Linked DNA regions of Rattus norvegicus. The protein of the gene in region 1 binds, or shares a complex with, the protein of each later gene. Links are inferred from orthologs where the notes say so. Each region holds a gene or a part of one and is shown in the gene's direction. Other genes may lie near its edges.

Region 1 (4,597 bases):
TCTGCGTTTTCTCACTGTGACTGTTCCTTTCGCTCCCTGACTGTCCTTTCGTTTCCAACAGGACCTGAGCTGAGGATATCCACCACTACAGTGAAAGCAGTGTGCCCGCTTGTCTTTGGGGATGAAGAGAGTCAGGTGCCAGTCTCATAGTCTACACAGGACTTTGCTCTGTCCTTAAATCAGTACCACAGGAAGGAAGACCTTATGGTCTCACCTAAGATACCAAGGCTCAGCTGGGGGTTGGGGGGAGGCATGGGCCTTTAACCTAAGTACTAGGGAGGCAGAGGCAGGTGGATTTCTGTAAATTTGAGACCAACCTGATCTACAGAGCAATTTCTTAGGACAGCCAGAGCTACACAGAGAAACCCTGTCTAGAAAAAACATAAAATGGGGGGGGGGGCTCCCTGAACACTGGAGACAAGCTGATAGTCACACTGTGAGTGGGACTCGTGGAGCCTAAACCAGATGCCAGGGCAGAGGATGCCAGATCTCTCTTTATCCACAGCACCAGGTTGCCTAAGAATGTGGCAACAGGGAGCCTGCTAGGCAAGGCTAGCCAAGGTCAGGAACCCGACACAACTGAGGCCCTCCCATGTCCCTTGTCCCTCACCTCTGACCGCTTGAGACAAATGTCCAAGACAGAGGAGTCATGTGCTAGCAGAGATGTGTTTCTACCCATACCACAGGTAGGCCATACCTGCAGACCAAGTATGTGGTGGGGGGTGCCTCTTAGCCACCAGTTCTGGGAAATTCACACTTCGGCTGCACAATTGATCCAGGGGAACAAACAAAGATGACTTTGAGGTCAGATGCACCTGTGCTCTGTCCCCGTCGGAGTGACTTTGAGTAGGTCACTTCACCTCCAGAGTGTCACAGAGTAAGAATGAAGTCTTCAGTGTTACAGTGGACCGAGACCCACACCAAGTGTGTGGGGGTGGGGGGGTTGGGGGGGTCCTTACTAAATGTTAGCCATGTAGGCCCTCGGTTTTGCAAGGGCAGATCCAGCCTCTGTGAAGCTATGGGAATGCAGGGTGGGAGCAGGGGCTCTGAAAGGTCTTCTTCCCAAAGGGGTTCATGTCCTGGAGTCCCAGGAGGGCAGCCTCCTAGACTGTACAGTGAACAAAGTCCCCCAGGGACCTGGCTCCCTTCCCTACAGCCTGTTCCTTACCGACAACAGGAGCAGAGCCCCAAGGTTAGGCAAACAAAGCAGCGATAAGCCACTTCCAGGCTGGGTATTGTATTCAAGGCTTTAGCCAGCTCCCTGGCTGGCTCCTTGGCTCTGTGAGAACCCTGGTCTTGTGTACATGAAAACGGCCACCAATAGAAACAACAGTCACGGCCAGCCCCTGGCTGGTTGAACGCCTGAGACCTTGGTGCCCTGGTACAGCCTGGGTTAATAACCCTGTTTATACACTTGAGTCATCCGATAAAGGGCATCCAGGCAGTGGGCAGGTGGCCCTGTGCCCTGCAATGGCCACTTCATTGACTAAAGCGATAGCAAGGCCACGTGGAGCTTCCAGTGCCCCTCCCCCACCACTTCTCCACCAGTCCTGCCAGGGTCAGCGTGTATGCATTGTGTGTGTGTGTATGGTTTTTTTTTTTTTTTTCAATGAACATGACTTCTGGAGTCAAGGTTGTTTGGCCAGTCCCCCTCCCGCCCATCAAGGATATAAATAGCACTCCGTAGAGAGGGCCACAGAGCCAGGAAGAAACAGGAACAAGACACAGACCATGAGCTCCAGCCAATCAGGGGTCTGCCCATGCCAGGGCTCTGCAAGCCACCCCACCATTCTCTACACACTTCTAAGCCCCGGTCCCAGGACCAGGCCCATGGCACCCGCATCTCGCAGCCACTGCCTGTGCCAGCAACACCGGCCTGTGCGCCTGTGTGCTCCACACCGCACCTGCAGGGAGGCCTTGGATGTCCTAGGCAAGACTGTAGCCTTCCTCAGGAACCTGCCGTCCTTCTGCCTCCTGCCCCATGAGGATCAGCGACGGCTGCTAGAGGGCTGCTGGGGCCCTCTCTTCCTGCTTGGGTTGGCCCAGGATACTGTGACCTTTGAGGTGGCCGAGGCTCCGGTCCCCAGCATACTTAAAAAGATCTTGCTAGAGGAACCCAACAGTGGTGCCCAGGGTGCCCAGCCACCAGACCCACCACAACCCTCACTGGCTGCCGTGCAGTGGCTGCAGCACTGCCTGGAGTCTTTCTGGAGCCTTGAGCTGGGTCCCAAGGAGTACGCATACCTGAAAGGCACTATCCTCTTCAACCCAGGTGAGCTTCCAGACACTCCTGGATGGTGGCCAAGGTGGGAGGGGACAGGGCTCATCCAGGGAAAGTGCTTTCTTGGGACTTGGCATCCATTGTACCTTTGGGTCCTTTTTAGCCTCAAAAATAGATACCTCGGGTTGGGGATTTAGCTCAGTGGTAGAGCGCTTGCCTATCAGGCGCAAGGCCCTGGGTTCGGTCCCCAGCTCCGAAAAATAGAAAAGAAAAAAAAAAAAAATAGATACCTCATAGGAGAGGCACAGAGAGGTTAAGCCACTACCTGAAGGTCACACAGCTGGGACTGCAGACCAAGCTAATGCAGAGACTACTTTTTGCCATGGTTCCTGAAATTTGGCCTGCATCTTAGGGAGTGTGGGAGGGTAGATGGGGTGGGGACATGGCTGCTTGGCAGATATATCTTCAAAGCCAGGCTGCATAGTGAGGTTCTGAAGGTCCACCGTGGGTTCAGGGAGGCCACTCAGAGAAGAAGAGAGAGAGAGTATGGGAGTGGGGTGAAGTCAAGCCAGGAGAAGAGTGATGGGGTGACAGGGAGAACTGGGACACAGTCTCACCATGTCACTCTGGCTGGTCTAGAACTCACTGCGTAGACCAAGATGGCCTAGCTTGGGAGAATAATCCTCGTGGCTTTGAGGAAGACAAGAGACGGACCTTGAAATTAAAGTACGATGTCACGTCATAGGAGTAGGCGTCCCAACTAGTCCCATGACATCTACCATATGTTAGGACTCAGTCTAAGGGCTTTACAAATATTGGTTTGCTTAAACCTCATAACAGGTGTGGGTGACCAGAACTGTCATTATCCCCACTTGACAGATGAAGAAGTTGAAGCACAAAGATTAAAGTACTCATTTAAGGAAGGTCACTCAGAAAGATTAAATTACTTACTCAAGGTCACTCAGCCAGTAAGTGGCTGCACTGAGATTCAAACCCTGGTTTTTTGGTGGGTTTGTTTTTGTTTTTGTTTTCTGTTTGTTAGGTTTTTGGGTTTTTTTTGTTTTTGTTTTGGGGTGGTTTGGTTTTTGGTTTTAAGATTTATTTAGGGACTGGAGAGATGGCTCAGCAGTTAAGAGCACTGACTGCTCTTCCAGAGCTCCTGAGTTCAAATCCCAGCAACCACATGGTGGCTCACAACCATCTGTAATGGGATCTGATGCCCTCTTCTTGTGTCTGAGAAAAGCTACAGTGTAATCGTATACATAAAATAAATAAATCTTAAAAAAAAGATTTATTTAGCCAGGTGGTGGTAGCATTTAATTCCAGCATTGGAAGGCACTGGGATCTCTGAGTTCAAGCCCAGTCAGAGAACTAGTTCCAGGACAGCCAGGGCTACACAGAGATGCCCTGTCTTTAAAAAAAATCAAATGAAAAGTAAAAATAAAAAGATTTATTTATACATTACTTTATGAGCTCCTACATGCGTGTGCATATGTACACATCACCTGTCAAGGAGATGTCACAAAGATGTCAGAAGAGGGCGTCAGATCCTCTGAAACTAGAGTTCTAGGGACTTGTAAAGCACAACATGGATGCTAGGAACTGAACTCAGGACCTCTGGAAGAGCAGTCAGTGCTGTTAACCACTGAGCCATCTCTCCAGCCCGTGTGTCTTCGTCATTACATCCACATTATCTGCTTGCTCTCCATAGTGGATGGATGGATAAGTGGTAAATAGTGAAGGAGACAGTGGGTGGGGCCTCCGAGGTGGCAGAGGGGACCAAGGCATGGACTCATCAGTGAAGAGATTGCCTCACAGACCTGGATTTTATTCCCAGCGCCCGCCACAAAACCGTCCTCTAACTTCCTGGCTTTACGAGCTGAGGATGTACTTCCCTAGTATGTTTTTTATATACATTGTCACTGTCTTCAGACACACCAGAAGAGGGCATCAGATCTCATTACAGATGGTCGTGAGCCACCATGTGGTTGCTGGGATTTGAACTCAGGACCTTTGGAAGAACAGTCGGTGCTCTTAACCACTGAGCTATCTCTCCAGCCCACTTCCCTAGTATGTTAAAGGGGCTATCAACATGCAGCCCAATGGTGGAATGTCTGCCTAGTGCACACTAGCATTCGCAAGGCCCTGAGTTGCACCCCAGCATACGAGGGAAGGGAACTGCTAACATTCTCCCACCCTGGGCAAACCTCCACAGACTTAGATGCTCACCGGCCCTCTTTACCCTCTCTGCCACAGATGTGCCAGGCCTCCATGCCTCCTGCCACATTGCACACCTGCAACAGGAGGCTCACTGGGCATTGTGTGAAGTCCTGGAGCCCTGGTACCCAGCTAGCCAAGGCCGCCTGGCCCGAATCC
Region 2 (3,807 bases), on another chromosome or scaffold:
CCTATGTCTGATTGTGTGACTCTGCACACACAGAGATGCGTGGGTGTCCATAAGTGCCTGCACTGTGTAAGCATGAATGCATATGCAGGTGTGTGTCTGTGTCGCTGAGCATGGCCACTGAAGGCCAGGAGTGGGCATGGGTGTGCAGCATGAGTACCATAGCTTCAGGGAACAGGTAACTGTGTGACAGAGTGGAAGAGAGAGAGAGAGAGAGAGAGAGAGAGAGAGAGAGAGAGAGAGAGAGAGAGAGAGACTCACAGAGAGAGAGAGAGAGAGAGAACAAGTAAGGTGGTAATGAACCAGCTCTTGTATGGTGGCCATTTCCTGTGCTCAGCAGAACCACCCACACTGCCTCCTCCCCTGCCCCAGGGAAGGGCACTTGTCAAAGTCAGCTATGCAAGAACAGTCCGCACTACAGGGCTGAAGGCAACCCCTTTTAAAGGAAGTATCCTTCAGCTCCCAGTGCTCCCACTACCTGATGCCTGCCCCACTGCCACTAAAGATGGGGCCAGCCAGCCACGGGTGCTCAGCTTGGTTCAACAAATGGAACAATGCTGGCAAAATGGTGGCCAGAGGCTCAGTGCTTGACCCAAGTCACTGATCAGAACCTTCTGCCCTGTACCCTTTCACCCAAGCCCCTGTCTCCCTCTCTCTCTGCCGGCCTCTCTGACCTGCCCTCTGCCGGTGCAGGTGGAGCTGAGCACGGTGGCTGTGCAGGCTGGCTCCCTGCTGCACAGCCTGGTGCTGCGGGCACAGGAGTTGGTGCTGCAGCTGCATGCCCTGCAACTGGACCGCCAGGAGTTTGTCTGTCTCAAGTTCCTCATCCTCTTCAGCCTCGGTGAGTGGCCTCTGGAGGCTCTGCAGTGGAGGGTGGTAAAGACATTGGGGTAGTACTGTGGTTAGAGAACCCAAGGGACAAGGATCCTCCTTTAGTGAGTGTTATAAGGGCACATGGCCAGGGTCTGGGTGCTCCCTGGAGGGCCATGGTTTCTCAGTGTGAAATCCCAAAGACCGAGATGTTGTCGGTGTTTTGCTTTTTATGGGGTGGAAACCTTTCTGAACATCTGATTTGTTTCTGACCAATCACGACAGAAATTGCTCTTCATACCCAGCACACTTAAATGCCTGCTGCGTTTAGGACTCTTTCTTCCCTGACTCCCATCCTGGGGTCCCTGTTTTCCCTAATTCCCTGAACTACAGGGACCCCCTGTAGTTCTGACGCTAGATCCCTTCTCCTGTACATTCATTCATTCATTCTGCAAACACCCGCTGAACACCTGCCTGGTGCCAGGGACTGGAGGCAACGTAGCCAATGGGAAAGACCCCAACTACTGCCCTCAGAGCCATGCACTTGGGGGAACAGCAAGTGTCTTATAAAGGGAGGAATACATAGATGGGGACTACATAGCAGCTAGATGCCACAGATATGAAGGTATGCCTCAGAGAGCCCAAGTCCTGGGATAGAAAGCTTGGAGGAGCCTTAGTGTATGAGTTGGATGGAAGATTCCGCAGCAGGGAAGCAGTTATGGGATGGGAGGGAAGAGAGAATGGAGACCTGTCTTTGCAGCAGTCTGGCAATGATGCTACCTAGAGTGTAGGAAGTATTTGGAAACAGAGAGAAGAAGGGAGCTGGAGAGAAAGCCCAGTACTCAGGCAGAGTTGGGCTACTTGCCACATCCATGTGGCAAGGGACAAGGGCCTGGGGACTCTCAGCCTGGCTAGTGCTCTAGAGAGTGTTAGGAAATGACCACAATGAAGTAGCCACCTTAGAGTGTAGCACAGCCTTAGGGGCCCTGGTCAGGATTGGGAGAATCTTGGGTGGGGGTGCTCAGCAAAGAGGACCTCTCAGCACCAGTCAGAGCCCCAGCATGACTCCCTTAAGGGAGCCCCACAGTCCCCTTTCTCCTACAGCCAAAGCTACTAGGTCCAGTTGGATGCTGGCCTCCCTATTTCTCTAGGGGCTAGGCTCAGTGGTGCCTTGACTTGGGGCAGTTCAGAGCCACCCTCCCAGCCCATATGCTAACTTCCCCTCCAGTAACTTGGAGAGATCAGTGCTAGAGTGGGGAGCATGGGAAGAGTCTCTGTATAAGTACATGGCTGCCTGGTTTCTACTCTGATCCCTCTGGCTTTGTGCAATTGAGCAAGTCACTCTCCAAGCCTCTATTTCCCCATGTGTGAAATGACATCCGTAAGTGTCCTTGACATACTGCAAGGGTACAATGAGGTAATTCTACCACGATCTTGGCCCTCAGAAGCATGTACTGATGTTCTTTATTAATCATCCTTATTAAGTCCATAACCAGATGAGCCAGAGTGACTGAACTAACCAGGCCACAGGCTCAGTCTTTATTAATGGTTTGTGTCTGGCTGAGGGCTTTATTGTCTCGGGTCTGGCCATGGTGTCTGAGGAGTTCTTAGCTCGGTGGGCCTGAAGTTGAGTTGAGGTTAGGGATGTCAGAGGCACAGGAGACAGTGATTCTGGGACCTCAACCTACTGGAGCCTAGAATGAGGGAACAATGACAGACACACACTGGGGCACAGAGTCCTTGGAAAGAGGCTTCAAGTTGGGATAGGAGGTGAGCAGTCCAGTATGACCAGAGTCGGGGCAACCCTACTGGGTTGGGATGCAGGATGAGGTGCGTACATCTGAGCTGGGCCTTGCAGTGTGAATAGGAGTGTTCTGGTGAAACAAGCAGAAGAAGCAGCCTGTTGGAAGTTATGGGGAGGGGAATGGGTGGAGAGGAGTCCACAAGGTAGACCCAGGATGAACTGTGCATGACCTCGGTTATTGGGCACCTTGAGCCTTCCTCTGGAATGGATCCCACTCTGGGGATAACCTGACCACCTCACATTTGCATATCACCATCTAAGGCCCTTCCGGCTCCAGCCTGGGGTAGGATAGTAGGTTGATAGCTCAGAGCCCTGCAGCAGGCAACTCCTGTATTTGGGTGATGGTGGATGGCCCTCTGACTCTGAAATGCAGGGCTCCTCGTCAGAGCTGAGCTTTCAGGAAAACTAGAACTCAAGGCAGGGCTGGTCACCTGTCCACAGACTTCCAGTCCGCCTGCTCGTGGCACCCTCAGCATCACCGCCCTGGGCTGGGCCGCCTCAAACCCAGGCAGTAACTGTCACCCACCCCCCACCCTGTCCCCCTCTACACACCTCCTTCTCGCCTGTCTCTGCAGAAGGGTGCCATTTGGCGTCTAAATAGCATCTCAGGCAGCTCAGAGGCAGGTAAGGAGGCTTAATTAAAATTAGTGCCTCTCTCCTGGCAATCGCAGTGTTTATGAAGATGGGCCCGGCCGGCATTGTTCCGCCGAGGACTTAATCGAAGCTTAATGGATTGACCTAACATTCGATTTCCTGATTCCCATTGAGGTGCACGGCAGCATTCCCTTAAGCGTTTGCAATTTACCCACCGCTCCAAGCCAACAAAAGACGGACTGAATAGCAGTGCCACTCGAGGGGCCATTGTGAGCGGGGGCGCCTGCCTGAGTCACTGCTATTGGGACAACATTCTTTATGCCTCGCTGGAATGAAAGGATTATTCAAATATTCAATTAAACCGTGAAAAGGGGGCTTTTCTGAGATCCTGGGGGCCCCCAGCTCATGGAGCTAGCGGCTGCTCCCAGGGTGGGGTGCCATCTCCCATCCCCTCCACCTCCAGGGATGTGGGCAGCACTGTCTGTCCTGCAGGCTCAGGCCCCAAGCTGGTACTCGGCAAGGGTCCCAGTCCTGACCTGCCCCATCTTATAAAAGATAGGTTCCGAGGTGGCGTCTGGTTGCAGAGCTGGGGTGTGAACCCC

Evidence for each region.
Region 2: the proteins of Nr0b2 (region 1) and Nr5a1 are in contact, whole or in part, in a crystal structure (PDB 1YMT), measured with the Mus musculus proteins. The link is inferred for Rattus norvegicus from reciprocal best matches to the Homo sapiens genes NR0B2 and NR5A1. Residues at the interface, in NP_035980.1 of Mus musculus: Thr19, Ile20, Leu21, Tyr22, Leu24, Leu25, Ser26; in NP_001303616.1 of Mus musculus: Ile275, Val278, Arg282, Phe287, Val292, Gln295, Met296, Leu299, Gln300, Asn450, Leu452, Glu455, Met456.

What each region holds. Positions count from the first base shown.
Region 1 is NC_086023.1:151,061,463-151,066,059, forward strand, and holds the start of Nr0b2 (nuclear receptor subfamily 0 group B member 2), read left to right. Parts: upstream 1-1,697; 5' UTR 1,698-1,731; coding exon 1,732-2,272; intron 2,273-4,477; coding exon 4,478-4,597. UniProt on the Homo sapiens protein: Transcriptional regulator that acts as a negative regulator of receptor-dependent signaling pathways. Specifically inhibits transactivation of the nuclear receptor with which it interacts.
Region 2 is NC_086021.1:42,878,996-42,882,802, reverse strand, and holds part of Nr5a1 (steroidogenic factor 1), read left to right. Parts: intron 1-690; coding exon 691-838; intron 839-3,807. UniProt on the Homo sapiens protein: Transcriptional activator. Essential for sexual differentiation and formation of the primary steroidogenic tissues. Binds to the Ad4 site found in the promoter region of steroidogenic P450 genes such as CYP11A, CYP11B and CYP21B.